Linked DNA regions of Callithrix jacchus. The protein of the gene in region 1 purifies or fractionates together with the protein of each later gene. This does not show direct contact. Links are inferred from orthologs where the notes say so. Each region holds a gene or a part of one and is shown in the gene's direction. Other genes may lie near its edges. The genes, in order: MAPK3, DUSP9 and DUSP6.

Evidence for each region.
Region 2: the proteins of MAPK3 (region 1) and DUSP9 purify together in Homo sapiens (affinity purification with mass spectrometry; 4 studies listed by BioGRID and IntAct, with this or other methods). This does not show direct contact. The link is inferred for Callithrix jacchus from reciprocal best matches to the Homo sapiens genes MAPK3 and DUSP9.
Region 3: the proteins of MAPK3 (region 1) and DUSP6 purify together in Homo sapiens (affinity purification with mass spectrometry; 7 studies listed by BioGRID and IntAct, with this or other methods). This does not show direct contact. The link is inferred for Callithrix jacchus from reciprocal best matches to the Homo sapiens genes MAPK3 and DUSP6.

Annotation. Positions count from the first base shown.
Region 1 is NC_133513.1:29,403,486-29,410,709, forward strand, and holds the start of MAPK3 (mitogen-activated protein kinase 3), read left to right. Parts: upstream 1-3,413; 5' UTR 3,414-3,448; coding exon 3,449-3,627; intron 3,628-4,635; coding exon 4,636-4,818; intron 4,819-7,224.
Region 2 is NC_133524.1:149,565,946-149,573,169, forward strand, and holds the start of DUSP9 (dual specificity protein phosphatase 9), read left to right. Parts: upstream 1-2,826; 5' UTR 2,827-3,001; intron 3,002-3,708; exon of another isoform or gene 3,709-3,912; intron 3,913-7,224. UniProt on the Homo sapiens protein: Inactivates MAP kinases. Has a specificity for the ERK family.
Region 3 is NC_133510.1:91,813,386-91,820,609, forward strand, and holds the start of DUSP6 (dual specificity protein phosphatase 6), read left to right. Parts: upstream 1-2,974; 5' UTR 2,975-3,440; coding exon 3,441-3,840; intron 3,841-4,434; coding exon 4,435-4,872; intron 4,873-5,893; coding exon 5,894-6,201; 3' UTR 6,202-7,224. UniProt on the Homo sapiens protein: Dual specificity protein phosphatase, which mediates dephosphorylation and inactivation of MAP kinases. Has a specificity for the ERK family. Plays an important role in alleviating chronic postoperative pain.

The DNA of each region.
Region 1 (7,224 bases):
AGGGAGGGAAAGGAAGAAAGAAAGAAAGAAATCCCAGCCTAGTCCTCCAAGCCAACCACAGTCACTAGAGGGGAATCTCAGTCACACTCTGAGCTTCCAGCAGCAGGAGGTGGCAGCCTGCCTCTCTGATACACCAGCCTTTCCTGTGCCGGGAAACTCACTCCCACTCAGCAAACCTGGCTCCGTGCTGAACCCCATGGTGTTTTCTCTGAGTCACTATATTCTCCCGCAGCTGCAAAATGATCTGGCAAAAGTCCCTCCAGGGCTTTTTCTGCTTACTGAGTAACATCCAAACTCCTTGCCAGAATCCAGAGCCTTCCTCAATCTGGTGCAATCTACCTCTCCAGCCTGAACCCCCATCATTTTTTCACTGCAGCCACGCTGGACAAATCATGCTTTGCCTCTGTACCTCGGCTCACCCCGATCCTTCTCCATCATGGCTTTCTTCAGTCCCGACCTTCTGCAACCCTACTTTTTCTTTTCTTCTTTTTGCTTTTTTGTTTCTTGCTTTTGAGACGGAGTTTTGCTCTGTTGCCCAGGCTGGAGTGCAGTGGCATGATCTCAGCTTACCACAACCTCCACCTCTTGGGTTCAAGTGATTCTCCTGCCTCAGCCTCCCAAGTAGCTGGGATTACAGGCACATGTCACCAAACGCCCGGCTAATTTCTGTATTTTTAGTAGAGATGGGGTTTCACCATGTTGGTCAGGCTGGTCATGAACTCCTGACCTCAGGCGATCTGCCTGCCTCAGCCTCCCAAAGTGCTGGGATTACAGGCATGAGCCACTGCAACCGACCTACTTTTACTTTACTTTTCTTTTTTTTTTTGGAGACAGAGTCTTGCTCTGTAGCCCAGGCTGGAGGGCAGTGGCGCAATCTTGGCTCACTGCAACCTCCTCCTCCCAGGTCCCAGGTTAAGCAATTCTCCTGCCTTAGCCTCCTGAGTAGCTGGGATTACAGGTATGTGCCACCATGCCCAGCTAATTTTTGTATTTTTAGTAGAGACAGGGTTTCACCGTGTTGGCTAGGCTGATCTTGAATTCCTGACCTTGTGATCCACCTGCCTCGGCCTCCTAAAGGGCTGGGATTACAGGCATGAACCACCGCACCCAACCTACTTTTGCTTTTCTTTACTTTTTTTATTATAGAGACAGTGTCTCCCTCTGTTGCCCAGGATGATGTGCTGTGGTGCAATCATAGCTCACAGCAGCCTTGACCTCCTGGGCTCAAGCGAGTCTCCTACCTCTGGAGTAGCCAGGACCACAGGCACGCACCACCACGCACAGCTAATTTTTGTCTTTTTTTGCATAGACGGAGTCTTCCTATGTTGCCCAGGGTAGTCTCAAACTCCTGGTCTCAAGGGCTCCTCCTGCCTCCGACTCTCAAAGTGCTCGGATTACCAGTGTGAGCCACCACACCTGGCCTGTGTATTTATTATTTTAAAGACAAGGTATCAGTATTATTAAAAGGGAGGAAAAAAGAAAGAAGTAGAGACAGGTTTCTCACTCTCACCCTGACTGGAGTGCAGTGGTGCAATCATAGCTCACTGCAGACTCCAATTCCCCGGGCTCAAGTGATCCTCCTGCCTCGGCCTCCTAAACAGAGCACTGAAAGTGAGTCACTGCACTGGGATCTAAATTGATTTACATATTTTCTCTCTTCAATAGAGTGGAGGCCTCTACTAGAAGACAGTAGGTAATTTGCCAAGGGTAACACAAGTTAAGTGAGTGGCAAAGACGTGATTCATTTTTTCTTCTTTTTCTTATTCCTCATTCAACTTGAACTTGAAAGATGAGATTCTAGTCCAGGCAATCAGGCTCCAGGGTGTTTTTACTCTTAAGCACAGATTCATACTATCCAGTAATCCTTTATCAGCCCCAGTACCTAGCTCAGAGCTTTGCACACAGGGCCATGCAATGGTTTATCAAATGAATAACTAAAAAAACTCATTGATCTAATTAGCACCTCTTGAACCTTTACTGACCTATGGGCTACTGGGAATCAGAAACTCAGTCTCCTTAATCTGAGTGAGACTGCCTGGCTGTGGATCTAATTATAAGCGATTTCAGAATCATAATTACTGTTCCATTTTGTCTCTTGATCTGTAATGCATCAAGGACCTACTCCCAGCTTCTCAGGGACAAAAAAAAACAACAAAAGAACCCACAACATGATTACTTACTGAAGCCTGGGAGCTGTGTGTTTTTGTAAAGCTTGCAGCTCACATCTTCGATGTGAAAGAGGGGGGTGGACTGGATGGTCTCGGAGGGCCCTTTCTTCAGTTGTAATAGTCTGAGATGGACAGGTGTGATCCCAGAGCTTTGGGAGGCCAAGGTGGGAGGATTCCTTGAAGTCAGAGTTTCAGACCAGCCTGGGCAACATAGCAAGACCCAGTCTCTACCCACCAAAAAAACATATTTTCTTTTCTTTTTTTTTGAGATGGAATCGCCTTGCTTTGTCACCCAGGCTGGAGTGCAGTGGGCGATCTTGGCTCACTGCTGCAACCTCTGCCTCCTGGGTTCAAGCAATTCTCCTGCCTCCACCTACTGAGTAGCTGGGATTACAGGCGCCCACCATCAGGCCCCAATAATTTTTGTATGTTTAGTAGACACGGGTTTCACCACGTTGGCCAGGCCGGTCTGAAACTCCTGACCTCAAGTTATCCGCCCAACTCGGCCTCTCAAAGTGCTGGGATTATAGGCGTGAGCTACCGTGCCGGAACCCCCCAAAATTTTTTAATTAGCAGGGCATGGTGTTGTCCACTCGTAGTCCCGGCTCTTCGGGAGGCTGAGGTTGAAGGATCGCTTGACCCCAATCACTCGAGGCTGCAGTGAGCTATGATTGCACCACTACACTCCAGCCTGGACGACAGAGCGAGACCCTGTCTCTAAAAGAAAAAAACAGTATAGGATTTTGAGAGGCATGGAATTATAAAGAGCCTCTGTGTCAAAAGACATCATTTTGAGTCTCACGTCTGTCATTACTAGGGACCTTACCCAAGTTAGTTAACCCAACTCACAGATTGCCGATCTGTAAAATTTGATTCATTTATTCGAACATTTTTTTGATCTAGGGTGATCCCGGGCCCAGGTTCTGGTGGGCTCCCGCACACATTGGCTGGCTGGCTCTGGGAGGTCACGCGCTGGCCGCTTCATCATCGAGGAGAGGGTGAAGACGATCTCCGAGGCCGCGCTGCTGAGCCTTCCCGTGGCCTGGAGGCCACGGAACCAGCAGGGATCCAAGGCCCGCGCACCTAGGGCTGGAAGGGCAGGCGCGCGCAGGGCGGCTCACGTGACAGCCCCGGGCCCGCCTGGGGTCGGGGGCGCGCGGGGGCGGGGCGGGGGCGGGGCCTGGCGCGCGCGGCCCCGCGGGTGACAGGCGGGCGGGAAGGGGCGGGGCCTCGGGCGGGGCCGCTGAGGGGAGGAGGGCGGCGGGAGGGGAGGAGTGGAGATGGCGGCGGCGGCGGCGGCGGCGGCTCAGGGGGGCGGGGGCGGGGAGCCCCGGAGAGCCGAGGGGGTCGGCCCGGGGGTCCCGGGGGAAGTGGAAATGGTGAAGGGGCAGCCGTTCGACGTGGGCCCGCGCTACACGCAGCTGCAGTACATCGGCGAGGGCGCTTACGGCATGGTCAGGTGAGGGGGCGTTCCGGGGGAGGGGGCGCCCTCGGGGGAGGGGGCTTCGCGGGAGAGGAGGGGGAGGCGCCGAGCGCTTTCCAGGACGTGGAGACGCGGAGCGTCCCGAGGAGGCCGGGGACTCGGGATGATCGGGAGCGTCCCAGGGAGGGGTCCCTGAATGCTTTCTGGGGGAGGGGTCGCTGCTACGTCCTCAGAGGAGGGGGCTTGGAGCTTTGAGTCCAGCACTCCGTAATGACGGGAGGGGCATCTGAGTGCATGTGGGGGACTGCCGGGACCCTAGAGACACGGGGCAAGGCCCAGAGGATGAGTACTCTCGGGGAGGCGACATCCTTAGTGAAGGGGCAGTGGAGGGTCGTTCTGGGGGAAAGGGTGTCTTGGATTCCCTGTGAGGCAGTGCTTGGAAGCCTGGGGGAGAAGAACAGAGATCAGGGTGTGGCAGGGCTTTGGCCCTCCCTTCCCACCACCACCAGGGGCTCAGTGAGGGATGAAGGGGCCAGGAGTGCCACCTGCATGTTTTGGGAGGGGTCTGTGAGTGCCCCCCGCCCCTCCATGTGCTCTGGGACAGCCTGGCTGCCTGGGCCCCTCACTCTGGGACCCTCCCCTGCCCTGTCCATTCCCTGGCTGCTGCTTTCCCACTGTGTTTGCCCCATGGTGTGGTCCCAGCATCTGCACCCCTGGACCTGTCTTGGGTTAAGGAGCCTTTCCTGGGAAGTGGGGTGAAGGGTTCAGGGCCACTAGAATGAAAGGGGATTGAGGAGAGGGGAAGTCAGTGAGTGGTCAGTCTCTTCCTCTGTTTGTAAAGTCACCGCAGGGGCGCCTGGCTGGTCCCCAGCTTTCTCTCTAGAGATCCCAGGCCTCCACAGCAGGAAGGAACCAGCATTGTTTATGAATTGGCCAGAGCCAGCTCCTGCTCCCTCCCCTCCCTGCCAAGGCCTGGGTGGGGCCACCAGGCCTGGACTCCCACTTTGTAAGGCCACAGCAGCAGCCTCTCTCTGGTCCCCTCAGCTCGGCCTATGACCACGTGCGCAAGACTCGAGTGGCCATCAAGAAGATCAGCCCCTTCGAGCATCAGACCTACTGCCAGCGCACGCTCCGGGAGATCCAGATCCTGCTGCGCTTTCGCCATGAGAATGTCATCGGCATCCGAGACATTCTTCGGGCGTCCACCCTGGAAGCCATGAGGGATGTGTATCCTTCACCTTGGCCTTCATGGCCTCCGAGCTGGGCTGGGGAACCATCACTTGCTTTCTGTTTCCATCTTCCCCACCATCCTCCAAAAAAAACCCAGTAAAATAAACTTTCCTGCAGAGGAGAGGCCACAGTGTAACAGGACTTGGAGGCCTCTGATGAATCCAGGCCTGTGGCAGCCGGGCAGTATGGCCTTGAGCAAGTCGGTTCTCTGCTCTGTGCCCCAGGGGGAGAGCTGGGCAGGATGGTCTCTATGGGAGTGTTGTCTTCTGACATCTGCAGTTCTGAGACATGACCCGGCCACAGCCCACAGTCACTTCTTGATAACAAATGGACGATTCTTTTCTCTCTTTTCTCTTTCCCCAGACTGGAAGGGAGACAGGGAGAAAGAAAGCTGTCAGCCGGGTGCAGTGGCTCACGCCTGTAATTCCAGCACTTTGGGAGGCCAAGGCAGGTGGATTACTTGAGGTCAGGAGTTGGAGACCAGCCTGGCCAACATGGTAACATTGTAAAACCCCATCTCTACTAAAAATACAGAAAAAAAAAATATATATAGCCGGGCCAGCTACTCTGGAGGCAGGGGTAGGAGAATCACTTGAACCCAGGAGGTGGACAGTGAGCCAAGATCATGGCATTACATCCCAGACTGGGTGACAGAGCAAGACTCTGTCTCAAAAAAAACAAAAAAACTACCTTTCTTGAGGGCCTATTGTGGGTCAGGTACTATATATGCCCAGTGCTTTATTTATTTATTTTGCTATTACACCTTCCAGCTATCCTATGAGATGGGTTTTTCAGCTCCATTTTTTTTTTTTTTTTTTTTTTGAGACGGAGTTTCACTCTTGTTACCCAGGTTGGAGTGCAATGGCACGATCTCAGCTCACCGCAACCTCTGCCTCCTGGGTTCAAGCAATTCTCCTGCCTCAGCCTCCCGAGTAGCTGGGACTACGGGTGCGCACCACCATGCCCAGCTAATTTTTGTATTTTTAGTAGAGACGGGGTTTCAACATGTTGACCAGGATGGTCTCAATCTCTTGACCTTGTGATCCACCCGCCTTGGCCTCCCAAAGTGCTGGGATTACAGGCATGAGCCACTGCATCCGGCCTTCAGCTCCATTTCAAAGATGAGGGGTGGAGAGCAATGGCTCACGTCTGTAGTCCCAACACTTTGGGAGGCCAAGACTGGAAGATTGCTGGAGACCAGGAGTTCAAGACCAGCCTGGGCAGCATAGTGAGACCCCATCTCTACAGAAAATTTAAAAATTAACCAGGTTTGGTGGTGCACAATTGTAGTCCCAGCTACTTGGGAGGCTGAGGCAGGAGAATGGCTTGAGCTCAGGAGTTAGAGGCTGCAGTGGGCTGTGATTGTGCTACTGTACTCCAGCCTGGGGGACAGAGAATGACCCTGTCTCAAAAAAAAAAAAAAAAATGAGGAAGCTAAGACCCAGAAAACCTAAAATCAAGTGTTTCTCTTGCTGTCTCCTCCTCCCCTCCCCCAGATGGGAAGTTGTCCTTCCTCTAGGACTTCTCACTCCAAGCAGCACCCTAATCACCTGTGGACTTGCACTTTGCCCAGGGAGGAGACAACCTAGCCTTGGTCTCCTCCCCTGATATTGCTTTCCTGGTTTGCTGTCCACTTCCTGGCTGGCTCTTTTGTTAGCAACTTGTGACACCTGTCACCTCTTCCCTGCCACACCCAATCACTCTCGGTCCCAGCACTCCACCCAAGAGAGGGGATTTGTACTCTGGTGTCTATAGCCCCCACCACAAACTGTGGACAGGAAATCTCCGCGTTCAGCCCCAGCTCGCTGTGTCATCTGAAGCAAGTCACTGCATCTCACTGGGCCTCCCCAGCTCTAAAACAGCAGGGCTGGTCCAGATGTTCTCTGAAGACTTCTTCAAGGCAGACCCCCCCTCCCCCCCCCCCCCCCCCCCCCCCCGCTCTGTTGCCCAGGCTGGAGTGCGGTGGCTAGATCTCCAATCACTGCAACATCCACTTCCCAGGTTCAAGTAATTCTGCCTCAGCCTTCCAAGTAACTGGGACTACAGGTGTGCACCACCACACCCGGCTAATTTTATATTTTTAGTAGAGATTTCACCATGTCGGCAGGCTGGCCTCGAACTCCTGACCTCAGATCACCAACCCACCTTGGCCTCCCAAAGTACTAGATTACAGGTGTGAGCCACAGCGCCTGGCCTCAAGGCAGATTCTAAAAGACAGACCTGACTTATTTTTCCAGACACAAGCCAAACGACATTTGTGGATTTATTTATTTATTTACTCACAGTCTTTGTTTTAGCTTCAAATGGAAAAAGACATTTTACTCCTCCATCTTCTGAGGTATGGCCAAGCACTCTTCTTTGAGTGGGAGTGTGCTGTTGGGAGTGTCTCCTCGTTTTTCTTGC
Region 2 (7,224 bases), on another chromosome or scaffold:
TTCCCTCTCGCCTATCTCCCATCTCTCCCTGCGGCTCACACCCCTGGGCGCTTGGCTTCCTGGCTGGCCTGCCTTTGACCTACTCTGCAAATGAGATTTCAGAGCCACTATAGGCCATTTTGTTTCAATGTCTGGGCATGGCTCCATTGGGAGCTGCTGTGGACAGGTTGGGTGCTTCTGAAGGCATGGCAGCTGGTAGCGGGATGCGTCCAGAAGATGCTGGGTGAAGCACTTCAGATCTGGGAGGGGTGCAGAGGGAGGAGTTGAAGGGACAGTGAGGGGGTTGTCATGTGAGCAGATGGCTTCAGCTGCAAAAGGAACCTCTGTAGGACCCAGAAATAAAGGTGTGTGCACCCTGGCGCCGGGGCCCGTAGATGTGACCCAGGTTCCATGCAGGATGACAGGCAGGGAGGACCCGGCACAGCAGGGTAGCCTGGGGACTTCGGCTTTGACAGCCATCACCTTTCCCACAGTCTCTCCCCCAAAACCTCATTCACCTGGACAGTGGCTCAGATTCGGGACCTGAACAAAATGTCCCTTAACAGGTCCAGGTGCCTGCAGCCAAAGGCCTCCGTGTCACGAGCCAGCCACCCAAGGCCCTGCCAGGCTAACAACGTCTCTACCCCAAGCAAAGCGCCGCTCCCTGGCCCCTCCACCTTGCCCGGGGCTGGCAGTTCCTGGGGCTGCTTTCAGGGTCTCTGGAGAGCACCTCTGGGGTTCAGGAGGGCGTGGGGTCTCACAGGAAACAAGATGGCCCCTTCCCAATGGCCATCCCCAAGGAAGGAACAAGAAGGAGGGCAGTGGCTTTGGTGTTCAGGTGGAATGGAGGGTGAGGGGCGCAGAGGAAAGGGAGAAGGCTGGGGCGCCCCGTCACTCCCATCAGCAACAGATGGACCCAGCTGCTTTGGAGTCAGAGGCCCAGCTGTGCCCTCGGTTCTGCGAAGCAAACTTTCACTCACTCAACTCCTCTTTGGGAGTGTTCTGCATTTTATTCTCCAGCCCTGGGGATGAAGAGGGGACCGCTATTTCCTGAGGCAACTCGGAGCAGGCCTGGTCTTTGTATGCTCCTTCTCCAGCAACGGATGGTCTCGTTGCGTGGAGAGCAGAGACACTGGGAGGGCTGGAGTGGGAGCTGTGCAGAGACGAGGGCGGATTATTCAATCCAAATGTTTCTCCCCAGCCTCTCAGCCCTGAGTCACTAAAGCATGGCAACCCCAAGCTTACTAGAAACTCCTCTGAGTCAGCTCACCCACCAAGCCTTTGGTGATCAGCTGAGCACCCAGGCCACGGGCACAGCTGTCCTACGTCCTCTCCAAACAGGAGGCGCCCTCGGTGGAGGGGGGAATGTGAAAGCCAGCCCCCTGTTTTTAGGGCACAGCTTCTGTGGTATATGGATTTCTTAGGAAAGGTCCCATAACTTCAGCACATCGAGCAGCACAGGCACCAGCGGTGGCTGCATATGCTCGCCTTCGTGGCAGGTCCTGGGCAGCCTGGCCCCCCAAGGCTGTAGGGGAGAGCCCCAGTGCAGCCCCACGAGGCCCAGAGTCCAGAGCAGGGACAGGGTTGCAGGGCCAGTGGCCTCCTTCCAGGAGGGACTCTGCTGCAGTCGGGCCCAGAGCAGGGCGGACAGGCCTGGCTGGCAACAGCAGGACCCTCCCAGCTCACTCACCATGGCTTGAAACTGCACAGATAGGAGGGCCCTTGGAAATCACATGATCCCACCTCTCTCCCCAAAAGTACAGACCAGGAAATGGAGACCCAGAGATGGGGCAGGGACTGGGCTCCAGAGGCAAAGCTGCTGCCCTTGTCTCTTCCAGGGGTAATGACTCAGGGGAATTCAGCGCTGCCGCAGACACAGCCAGGCAGCCAGTGGAGCTGCTGGCACCCCAGCCCTCCCTGCCGCACCTTATTCTGCGCTCATATCCTCCTGCTGGATCTCAACCTCTCCTCCACTGCAGGCAGGAGGCCAGGCTCATGCACCGCTGGCCTGGGAGCCCCAGAAAGGCCAGGTGCACACCTCGGACGGCTGCCTCCCCTCCCCTCCCCATGCAATCTTCCGCACTCACGCTCGTTCAGGCTCTAGGCTTCTGAACTCAGCCAGCCCGAGCCCCATCCTACTTTGCCACTACACTATCGTGCCACCACCAGGGAGCCACGGCCTCAGTTTCCCGGGCTGTAACATGGGGACAATCTCCTCAGACTTCCAGAACTGCTGTAAGGATAAAATGAGGTCCTTGGTGCCAATGGGTGTGACCTGTGGTACAAAGGAGAAAGCTAACGGGACCTGGTGACAACACCCGCTCCCTACTTGCTCCCAGCCCCTCCCTCAACATCCTGGCTCCACCCCTTCCAGGCACTGAGGCTCAAATGCTATTACTAGTAGCCAGAATCTGACATATGAGAATAAGAGGAGACACTGCAGGGGGCCCCTTGGCTGGGGTGCCAGTGCAGATTCTGCGGAGCAACCGTCCCCCTAGCCCAGGCCCAGCCTAGTTCAGGGCCCCCAACCCCACTCCGGCGCTCCAAGCTCCGAAGTCCCCACTCAGTAGCACCATTGGGGACCGGGAAGCGCAGGGCGCGTCGTGCAGGACGGGCGGAGAGGGCAGAAGCTTGCAGGTGGGAGGAAGGCGGGCGGGGGCGTGGGAGGTGGAGGGAGACGCCGGGAAGGCCGCGGCCCCTCCCCGCTCCCTCCCTGCGCGCCGCCAGCTACATTGCCCCTCCTGGGCAGGGGGCGGAGAAGACGGCGATGGGAGGGGAGGAGGCGGTGGCGGAGGCGGAGGAGGCGGAGGCGGAGGAGGCGGTGGCGGCGGCGGCGGCGGCGGGGGCGGGATTTGGAGTTTCCCTCCGCAGCGCCGGCGGCTGCCCCTCAGCTCCTGGCAAGGCCGCCGCCCGGGGTTCCGGTGGCGTTCGGCGGCAGCAGTGGCGCTTCCCGCCGACCGAGCTTCAGAAACTTCCCGGCCGCGACGCAGGGAACAGGCTCAGAGAACCGAGCGGAGCAGAGGTGAGTGGAGCACACGACGTCCTGGGGACCCCCACCCCACCCCACCCGGCCTGGCTGACCCCCCCTACGTGCACCCCCTCCTCCACCCCACACCCCCAAAGTCCTGACAAGGCACTCCCCACGAAGCCGGCGCACGCGCCCCTAGGAGACCCATTGGGTGCTGCCGCCGCACACCCGTGCACCCCTCCCGTGCACCTCCCGTGTCCACTGCCACTTAGACCGGCTGCACACTCGCGCGCACACAAACCACGCATCACAGAGCCGGGTCCCTGTAATGCACACACTAGCATCCCCTGTACCACTACTCACCACTGTCCCCAACTCATGCCAACCCACCGAGACCCTGCCACGCCCCAGTACACACCCAGGCGCACACGCACGCTTCCAACACATCTCTGCGATACCTGCACTAACATAGCTCCCCCTACCATGCTCTTGCCACCTTGAACTCCCCATATCCCATGACAGACACCCCACCCAGGTGCCCAGCCCAGAGACACTGCAGTCCACCCACCCGGGAGCGAGGTCCCATCACAAATCCACATCCCAGCGGCCGATACTCCCCACGTCCCAGGCACACACCTCCAGCATCTCCAGCGCGCACTCTCATCCGCCCCAGCACGCGCGCACACCTGCTGGATTCACGCTCTCCAGCACCCTACCCCGCCCCCATCACAAATAGCCTTCGACACCCCCAGCACATCTCTGAGTCCCTCCCTCCCAACACCTGGCACGCGGGCTCTAGAGGCTGCAGCATTTGGTGGCATCCCTGCCAGGCACCTCTGGCTCTCCTTCGGCAGCGTCTCATCAGCCTTCGGCTCCCCAGGTGCCTCCCTAAACAGACCTTGAGACTCCCCAGCGACTGACTTGGCCTCTTCCCTAAGAGATAAAGAAGGCACTTGGGGTGCAAGGTAGGGTACTTAGATGCGGAGGCAAGGGGCCGGGGGGAGGGGCGGGGTGGAGGCAGAGAGCGCCCGCCGCTGAAATGGAGGCGTCCCAGGTGGGACCAAAGGGGCGCCAGCTGCCCGACCAGCCCGTAGTAGGTGGGTTCCATGCGGGCTGGAGTCCGCGCGCGCTGTCTGGGTGCCGGCCTGTGTGTGTGTTACGGGGAGAGCTGTATGTGCACGTGTGCTTATGCGTGTCGGGGTGGGGGAGGAGTGTGTAATCGGCAGAAGGAAAAGCAGGAGCAGCTCCCTCAGGCAACAATTGGTTTCATTCATTCATGCCTTCTTTGTTAACGAGCATTTCTTCCGCGAGCGCCGGGCGCGTGCCAGGCCCTGCACTGGGGGCTGGGGCCAGCTTGGGGCCGGGCACACACACGTTCCTGCCTTGGAGGAACTCCCAGTCCCGCGAGGAGACCGACCATCCCCAGCAGAAAGTGGATTTGATGGAAAAGACACTGGATTTGGCAGACACGCTGTCTCTGGGACTTGTGCTCTTGGCCATGTGACCCGGCCGCGACAGCCGAAATCCTGCCACTCGGCCCGGCGGGAATGGTGCATTTCGGGGTGGGAAGGCGGCGCGGCGCCGCTCTCGGGAGGCCCCCGGGACCAGAGGGCGCACTCGGCACGCGCGAGGCCTGCAGACGGCGGCTTCCTCGCGGCCTCCAGGGGGCGCTGGCCCGGCCGGGCGGAGGCCCGGGGCGCCCGGCAGGGGCGGGGGCGGGGTAGGCGGGCGCAGCGCCCACCCTGCGACGAGCAGCGAGCGCGCGGCCTGGCTCCGCCCGCCGGAGGGGGCCAGGAGAGGCCCGGGCGCGCGACGCGGCCTCTCCCTGCACGGCCCACCCGGGAGTGGCTGCGGGGCTCGGCGGCGCCCAGAGCTGGCGCTGCTGGGGGCCTGAGTGGGGGCAGTCAGGCGAGGGTCGCCGTTAGAGGGGGTTAGGAGGTTGGCTGCGCTCAGCCCTGCAGTGCGGAGGCCGCAACAGGTTCCCGTTTGTCCTGTTGCTGGCGCTGCGGGCGCTGTGGGCCCTGAACTCTCAGCTCTGACTTTGGAGATTGAGCCCCTCATGGCCTCCTCATGAGCCCCTTATGGCCCCCTCCTAAATTCTTTCTCCGGATGGGAAGGCTTGCCAGCACGGCTCCGCAGTTAGGTTCAGGGAGCCCCTCGCCCGGTCGGGAGCCAGGGACTCTTGGATCCCGGGCTTCCCCTCCCTTCACCATTTCGGAGGCTGCCTCTCTTCATCCTCATCCTAGCCCAGCTCCTCTCACCTCCAGGGAGCCCTCTCCAGAGTGGCCTAAGCACCTCAGGAGCTCCCTCTCCAGCCAGACTGAGCCCCCAGGCACAGGAGCGGGGAACACCGCTGTCCAGCTCCCGGCTGCTCACAGCCCTGTGCCACCCCTACTAGCCACAACCAGACTGGCACATGGCAGAACCTCGGTGGTGCCTTCAACCCCTGGCCACTCTGAGCTCCCACCCACAGCTGCAGTGGGCCTGGAGGCAGCCCCCGGGCTGGGCACCAGTGTACACCTCCACCACTGTGGGACTAGGCTGAGATAGGAGGAGGGAGAAGACAAAGTTCCTGCCCCAGGAACACACTGAGAAAGGGGGAAAGTGACCACACTGGGGAGCACAAAGGAGGGAGACTACTGGCTCCGAGTTGGGAGGGCTGCCTGGACGAGGGGACCTACAGAAAGAAGCAGAATCTCAGAACCTGGGCAGGGGGCATAGGAGGGAGGCCTGGGCTGGGGCCCATGCCCACTGGGCAAGAGGAGAAGGAAGGGCACAGTCCAGCTGCCCAAAGCCCCTGGATGCAGGAATTAGGACTCATCTTAGAGACAGGGACATGGAGGTGTGGCCAGACAGCAGCCCAGTGCCAGGGTCCTGGGAGTCCCGGCTAGCAGCCCACTGCCCAGAAGGGAGGGGGAGGGGAAACTGGAAGCCCCTTAGAGATCTCCATCTGGCCGTGGGGAAGATCTAGGCCTCGAACGGCACCCCTCACACTCACCCACCCCACTCCCAGCTTTCCATCACCTGCCCTCTTCCGTAACCGTGACCTCAGACATTTGCTCCTCTGACTCCGTAATGATTCCCACTGTGGGACTCGCAGTGCGCTTTCCATTTTCCACTCCTTAGAGAATGTGTGTAACTTTGATTTCTTTTACTTTAGTTCCTTAGATTCCCCAAAGTGGTCAAAGGGTTGGGATTTTTTCCTAGCTCTTGATATTGCCAGATTAATTTCCAAAAGGGCTATGCCAATATATACCCTGCAACCGTTGAACAGCACGTTGATTTCACAGCAATTTTGCCGGCACTGGGTGTTCTCAAACATGAGGACATTTCTAGCACAGAAGGTGGAAAGTGTTACCTCGTTGGTCATTGTTACTTGTTTTTTGGAGTTGCTTTCCTTCCACGCCTGAGCTTGAACCTTCCCCCAAATATTTGTAAGGCCGCCGCATTCCCTCCTTCCTGCAGTGTGCAGTGTTTTCAGGTTCTTTGCCCATTTATCTACAGGGGTCTTAACCTTTTGGTTGGGTATGAGCTTTATCTTATCTATTGTACATTTTCCTTCAACACTGTTATTTGCTTTTGTTGGGCTTTAAGCAGAAAAGGGACTTTTAGCCAGACCAGTGTTGTGGACACCTCCCCCTGACCTGGTCTCCTATCTCAGCGCTCACCACACCTGAGACCTTGTGCAGTGCCCTGGCTGCCTATGGATCTGCCCTGCCTATTGTGCCCATGGAGGAAAGGATGGAGGCCACCAGCCTTGGTTGAGTGGATGGCATTCTGACATTGGGCAGGGCAGGGCAGGGTGGAGGGCAGGTCGTTGCAGGCCTGGAGGCTGGGAGACTGTTGTGCAAGACGTGACAGTGACCTGGCCTAGAGCTGATGAATTTGAGCCCTTGGCTAGGATAGGGGACAGGGGACAGAGGCATGGATGTGAGAGAGATTTAGCTGGAAACTACTTCTCTCCACTTTGATCAGCCAAGGGGAGAGCCAGGGGTCACTCTTAGGATCAGTTTAGGGCTGGGAGCTCAGGGCTCCTGGGTACTTTTGGCCAGTGCTGTGTGAGTGAAGCCTGCTGGGGTGGGAGGTGCTCTGGGCCAAAGCTGCAGAAAGTTTCTGATCCTGCTTCCTCCTCCCCTGGGCGATTTCAGTGGCATCCCACCTTTGGCCAAGCTGGTAGCTATAAGTCCATTACAGAGATGGTGCCACTGAGATCCAGGCAGGGGAGAAGATGGTCCAGTATCACCGAGTGAGTTGAGTTGAAGGCAGCTTCTGCGACA
Region 3 (7,224 bases), on another chromosome or scaffold:
ATGTAGCTGGGTCCATTCTGATAACCTTGCTAAAGAATTTTGATCCTGGTCTATAAGAACACCTCCTTTGCTTGACAGCTGTATTAGAACGGATTAAATCGGTTAGGGTAGTACCTTAGAGGGCTTTGCTGCAGATGAGCCAGTCCAGGCGTGCTGTGAGGCAAGCCTCAAAGGGCATCTGTGGAATGCCAAAACCATCCCCCCAACCGAGGCCTTTTCACAGGTTCTCAATTCAGAAGGATAAAAAATTAACTCAAATCAGCTAATAGCACCCCATCACCATTTTAGGACATTTCACCCTACCCATTTTGTCGTCACAGGGAACATGAAGCAGACAGTTTTATATTAATTATGCCGACGTGGAAGACTGCAACTTACAACCGCTAGATGATTTAACTAAGGGCGCACACCTAGATAGAAGCTGGATACATAATTCAAACGACGGTCGTCTCACTCCAGAAGCCCTTTACGCAGCATTTCTAGGACTGAGCGGTCAGAACGTCACTTTAATCAATATGCCAGGAAAGACTGGCATTCCCCTGGCGAAAGAGTTCAGAAGCATGGGTAAAACTAGTTTCGATGTGTCCTCCTGAATCTATAGTCATATTCAGGTAGCTGCACTTTTAAAACAGGCAAAGTGGAAACCCAGCTTCCCTCCTTTTCTCTTCTGTTGGAGGTCCTGGGCTGCACCTCCAACAGGTTTGTTCTTCCCAGTTCCGCTTCAGGACACCCTGCCTCTTCCCTCACTGTCCCCAGGTCCCAATGACTGAAACGTCTTGGTATGGGAACTTCTGTGACAGATCGGGGAGGACAGGGGGAGTCAACTCCAGCGCAGGCCTCCCCCGGCTGAAAACTAGAAGATATCCAGTGAAATACAGGAGTTTAGTTCCAAGGGCTGCCCAAAAAAGGTGCGGAGAGGAGAGCGGCAATCTCCACCTTCGTCGAACACGCTCCTCCCGGGGCGGCCTGCCTGCAGCAGAGCTCCAAAATTGGCAACCCGGGCCTCGCAGCCGCCTTTTTTTAGCCTACATTTCCCAAACCAGGGAAGAGGCGGCTGACTAAAAATGCAAATTGCAGCAGGGGCGTCAGCAGGCATGCCCGTGGGTGCGGGGCGTCGGGCGAGGGGAGACCCCGCGACCTTAGGCGCCCTCGCGGTGCTGGGTGGGCGCAAAGCGCTGCGAGGGACGCTACCCAAAGCCGCACCCCGCCGGGAGGCTGCCCCGCTTCCGCCTCCCAGGCAGCGGCGGGACAAAGCGCGGCCTCTTTTCCGCCGGGGTTTAGGGAGGGGATGCCGGATTAGGGCCCGCGCCTTCCGGCCGCAGCCCTCCCGCTCCAAGCCGGCCGCTCGCAGGTGGTTTTCCGCTCGGGAGGGTCAGGCCTCGGCACTTTTATATAACAATAGAGCTGTGCGCGCCGGGAACGCGCCTCCCCGCCGCCGCGGCCCCCACCCGGCCACGCCTCCATCCGGCTTCCAGTCCATCCGCCCCGCGGCGCCTGAGTCAAGCGCCGCGAGCTGGCCTGGCCAGCACCTCCGCAAGTTACCTGCTGGCTCTGTAGGGCGGTAGGGACGTTCCCCGCGACTCCTTGAGAGCCAAGGGCCGGGGGGGGGGGGTCCCGGCAGGCACTCGTCCTTGCTCCCCCCACCACCCGCCCCAGATCTCTATGGAACCCGGAGTTCCCCGCTCAGCCCCGCACCCGTCCACTGGATCGCGCAAAGCCTCGTGCCTGCCAAGTGGGGAGACGGGGGCAGCGGGGCGGTGGCAGGGAGCGCAGCGCGCAGGCGCGGCTGGTGCTCTAGGGAGTGCCAGGCGCTGGACAAAGGGAGGAGGCGGCGGCAGGAGGGGGCTGGGGAGGCCCCCTCTGGCATGCCTCCCTGCCAACTGTAACCAATAGCGGACCCCCCCCCCCCCCCGCTGAGCCCCCGGAGCCTACAGACCTTGCGGGAGGACTTCCCCACGCCTCGCCAATGGCGGGGACTACCGGCCCGGCCCTGCGTGTCCCAGCACACTTCATCCAGGCAGTCCCGCCAGACCGGCTCCTCCGTCAGAAGCCGAGCTCCTTGCCCAGAAATCATTAACCAACGCGACCCCCCAGCAGGCGGTGATGGTGGTGGGGTCGGGGGAAGAGATTTAGATCTCCAGAACAATGGCTCGTAACTCCCCACGCCGCTGGAGCGGAATACAGTAAAAGTACTGGACTGCCCTAAGAGTTTGTTTCTGTATTCCACATTGTTTTAAAGAAGATAAAATGCTACTTTAAGAAAAAAGGTTTTCTTCTGATTTTCTGGACAACCAAACATTTGTTTGCTTTAAAATGTTTCAACAGAATCCCGGCTTGTTTCGAAAGATGTTGGATTAGCATTTAACACCTCATCGGTCACTAAAGCCCCGTCAGTTCACCAGCCCCAACACAGTCTCGGCTAAAAGAACATCAGAGCAAACAGAGCTGGGGCTTTAAAGCTGGCAAACAAATACCACACACCGCCTAGAGAAGGGGGGTTGGGGCGAGGAGGATTAAAGCGAACTTGGGTCCAAATGAGTTAGAAGGGGATACAAAGAACAAAAAGTCAGCGCAAGTTTTCCTAAAGCTAGCTCCGGAACGCAAGCGTCGCGAACAAGGGCTTTTGTGCATGCTAATTGCGCCATTGGTGCGCAAAAGTTCCGACGCGAAGTGTGAACTCTCAACAGAAGGAAACATGAGACAACTGAAGTGCCCTGGCTTATGTGCCCTGCTCCTCCTCTGCTGCCGCCTCCCCTTCTTTCTCCTTCCTCCCGCCGAGCCCGCTGTTGCAGCTTGTTTGCACTGGGGCTTATCCGGAGCGGAAATTCCTTTCCGTTTTTGTGAATGACAAACTCATTAACAATTCATCAACACAACCTGTTCCAGCCGGCCCGTCCCCACGGCAACAGCCCCTTCCGCAGCTCGCTCATTGGCTGGCCCGGAGAATGTATCCATTGAGACGCTCGCTGTTTGTATCCATTGAGGAGCTGCCTCGCACTGGGGGTGTGCGAGGCTGAGTCCCAGGGATAGTGAGCAAATCGAGTCTTAAATAATCCGAGGAGAAAGACGCCCGGGTAGATTTGAGGTGCAGCCTTGGAGGGAGGGATTAGGAGCCGCTAGACATTTTTTTCCTTCCCTCTCAGTAACACGGAGTCCGAATTAATTGGATTTCATTCACTGGGGAGGAACAAAACTGTCTGGGCAGCTTCATTGAGAGAGATTCATTGACACCAAGAGCCAGCGGCTGCAGCCGGGTGCAGAGAGAACCTCTGGCTTCACTTCTGTCTCGTTTTCCCCAATCGCCAGCCTCGGCTTGGGTGAGGCGAGGCGGACTTAAACCCCGCTCTGAGAGCGGCAGCTTCGCGCGCGGTGCGCTCGGCCTATGCCTGCCCCGAGGGGCGTCTGGTAGGCACCTCGCCCTCTCCCGCAGCTCGACCCCCATGATAGATACGCTCAGACCCGTGCCCTTCGCGTCGGAAATGGCGATCAGCAAGACGGTGGCGTGGCTCAACGAGCAGCTGGAGCTGGGCAACGAGCGGCTGCTGCTGATGGACTGCCGGCCGCAGGAGCTGTACGAGTCGTCGCACATCGAGTCGGCCATCAACGTGGCCATCCCGGGCATCATGCTGCGGCGCCTGCAGAAGGGCAACCTGCCCGTGCGCGCGCTCTTTACGCGCGGCGAGGACCGGGACCGCTTCACCCGGCGCTGCGGCACCGACACAGTAGTGCTCTACGACGAGAGCAGCAGCGACTGGAACGAGAATACGGGCGGCGAGTCGGTACTGGGGCTGCTGCTCAAGAAGCTCAAGGACGAGGGCTGCCGGGCGTTCTACCTGGAAGGTACGCGCCCGGGGAACTCAGCTTGCGGGACAGGGCGCAGGGCTGCGGGCCGGGCGCGTGGACTAAAAATGCCTCTGCCGCTGGCGCTTCAGAGCCGCGCAGCTTGCCCAGGGGCCGGCAGCGGCGAGGTAGGGGCCGCGACCCGCGCGTTCCGCACCGGAGAACCGGGCAGGGGCAGAATCCACCCGCTTCCGGCCGCGGTTACCGGCCGTTTCTTTCTAACGGGTTCTGAGCCCTTCTTACCCAGAACATCCTCTACCATCACCCTGTTTTCTATCGTTCGATTTTGAATTAAGATTTGCAGGACCGGAGAGGTTGTTGGGGGTGCAGATTGGCACATCCTAGTTTCTCAAAATATTCCCAAAAGTTGCCATTTTGTATATTTCCGGATTTAAACGAATAAGGGTTCCCTGGCGAGGCGGGCCCGTTCGTTCCATTCCCAAGGGTGCACATTTAAAGTGTGTTTCTCTTATTATGTATGTCGGGGGGGTTTGTAGGGTGCTTGTGGTGTTTCTTACGCCGGGGTGGTTCTTACAAGCTGTGAAAACTACTACGACTTCTCGGGTTACACGATTGCTTTTCTCGTTCTGGCAGGTGGCTTCAGTAAGTTCCAAGCCGAGTTCGCCCTGCATTGCGAGACCAATCTAGACGGTTCGTGTAGCAGCAGCTCGCCGCCGTTACCAGTGCTGGGGCTCGGGGGCCTGCGTATCAGCTCTGACTCTTCCTCGGACATTGAGTCTGACCTTGACCGAGACCCCAATAGTGCAACAGACTCGGATGGTAGCCCACTGTCCAACAGCCAGCCTTCCTTCCCAGTGGAGATCTTGCCCTTCCTCTACTTGGGCTGTGCCAAAGACTCCACCAACTTGGACGTGTTGGAGGAATTCGGCATCAAATACATCTTGAATGTCACCCCCAATTTGCCGAATCTCTTTGAAAACGCAGGAGAGTTTAAATACAAGCAAATCCCCATCTCGGATCACTGGAGCCAAAACCTGTCCCAGTTTTTCCCTGAGGCCATTTCTTTCATAGGTGAGACTAATTAGTAGTCGTTGCTCTGACATTTAAATGCAAAATTCCCAGCCATTCATAGAGTTTAAGCTGTTAATCGTTCTTTCTGCTTGCTAATTTGTCAGACTAAAGGTCTCTAATGTTTCTAGAGCGTCCTTAATTCTGTATTATTTTCTTGCTAAGGGAAGAAAACCTGCCTTTTGACATGGATGCAGATCACCTATTTGAAATGCTGTTTCTTGAATCTTTGAATTCAGTCATTTGACGGGGGTTGGGATCGTTCATAATTGGAAAACAGATTTTTCCCACAGTCTTTGGACTCAGGGGAAGGGTCAAATAGAAGTACTCACTATACACAGGAATTCCAGCATTGCTTTATAATTTAAAAACCTAGGAGTTATATTAGGACGTCAAGTTAGTTGTTGGAAAGCAGTATGAATGCTGAGTGTTACCCAGTTGAATGATACTGTGATACTGGTAACAGTGAGACAGTGGGTAACCTGAGCCCAGCAGGAAGAACTGTGGGCTGGAAGCCTGGGAGAAGTGAATCTCTAGGCATTGTAATGCACTTCCTATTACAAAGGAACTCATTTTCAAGCCATGTCGACATCCTGTTCCTCCTAATGGGCTGTCCCCTGTGACTTCCCTCTCTCTTTTAAAATGCCTGAATACCTCCATTGTTAACTGCACAACATTTGGAGAATAATTTAATAGACCCTTGCAGTCTGCTTGTCTGTATAAAAGGCATTCACGAACATATTGCAGGGTTTCTGGTATTCACATGCTGAGGCAAAGAATGCACCCATTAAGGAGTTTTTTGTTGGCAGAAACTTAATACAAAAGCTCTCTTTTTAGAAAACATCTGAAATATGTAATTGTGTCCACTGTACATGTTTTATTTCAGTGATACATTTTCCATTGCCCGTATGGCTCAACAGCCACACACAATTATTATTATTATTAAAGTTCAGTTTTTAGACTGATCATTCACAAAGTATATTTTCAATACACTGAGATCTTGCTTTTCTTTTTGTGTTCACAGATGAAGCCCGGGGCAAGAACTGTGGTGTCTTGGTACATTGCTTGGCTGGCATTAGCCGCTCAGTCACTGTGACTGTGGCTTACCTTATGCAGAAGCTCAATCTGTCGATGAATGATGCCTATGACATTGTCAAGATGAAGAAATCCAACATATCCCCTAACTTCAACTTCATGGGTCAGCTGCTGGACTTTGAGAGGACGCTGGGACTCAGTAGCCCCTGTGACAACCGGGTTCCAGCACAGCAGCTGTATTTTACCACCCCTTCCAACCAGAATGTCTACCAGGTGGACTCCCTGCAATCCACGTGAAAGACCCCACACCCCTCCTTGCTGGAATGTGTCTGGTCCTTCAGCAGTTTCTCTTGGCAGCATCAGCTGGGCTGCTTTCTTTGTGTGTGGCCCCAGGTATCAAAATGACACCAGCTGTCTGTACTAGACAAGGTTACCAAGTGTGGAATTGGTTAATACTAACAGAGAGATTTGCTCCATTCTCTTTGGAATAACAGGACAAGCTGTATAGATACAGGCAGTAGGTTTGCTCTGTACCCATGTGTACAGCCTACCCATGCAGGGACTGGGATTCGAGGACTTCCAGGTTTATAGGGTAGGACCAAATGGTAGGGTAGGAGCATGTGTTCTTTAGGGCCTTGTAAGGCCTTTCCTTTTGCATCTGGAACTGACTATATAATTGTCTTCAATGAAGACTAATTCAATTTTGCATATAGAGGAGCCAAAGAGAGATTTCAGCTCTGTATTTGTGGTATCAGTTTGGAAAATAAAAAATCTGATACTCAATTTGATTACTGTAAATATTTTATCTTAAATCACTTGATAGTGTTTGTTTGAATTATTTGTTTTTTCCTTTGATGGGCTTAAAAGAAATTATCCAAAGGGAGAAAGAGCAGTATGCCACTTCTTAAAAGAAGAAAGAAAGAAAATTGTGCTCTTTTCTAATCCAAAGGGTATATTTGCAGCATGCTTGACTTTACCAATTCTGATGACATCGTTATGGACACTATTATTGCTAAGACCTTGTTATGGTGAAATCTTTAGTCTTTTTCATGTGTCTTCCTCATGATTTTTTTCTCTTTATGTAGTTTGATTATGCCTTACCTTTGTAAATATTTTGGCTTGTGTTGTCTCAAAGGGGATAATCTTGGAAACACACCAAATCATGGGCTCACTTTTTTTTTTCTTAAACTTCAGCTGTGCTAAACAGTATATTACCTCTGTATAAAATTCTTCAGGGAGTGTCACCTCAAATGCAATACATGGGTTGGTTTCTTTCCTTTAGAAAAAATTTGTATAAAACTGGAAGTGTGTGTGTGAGCA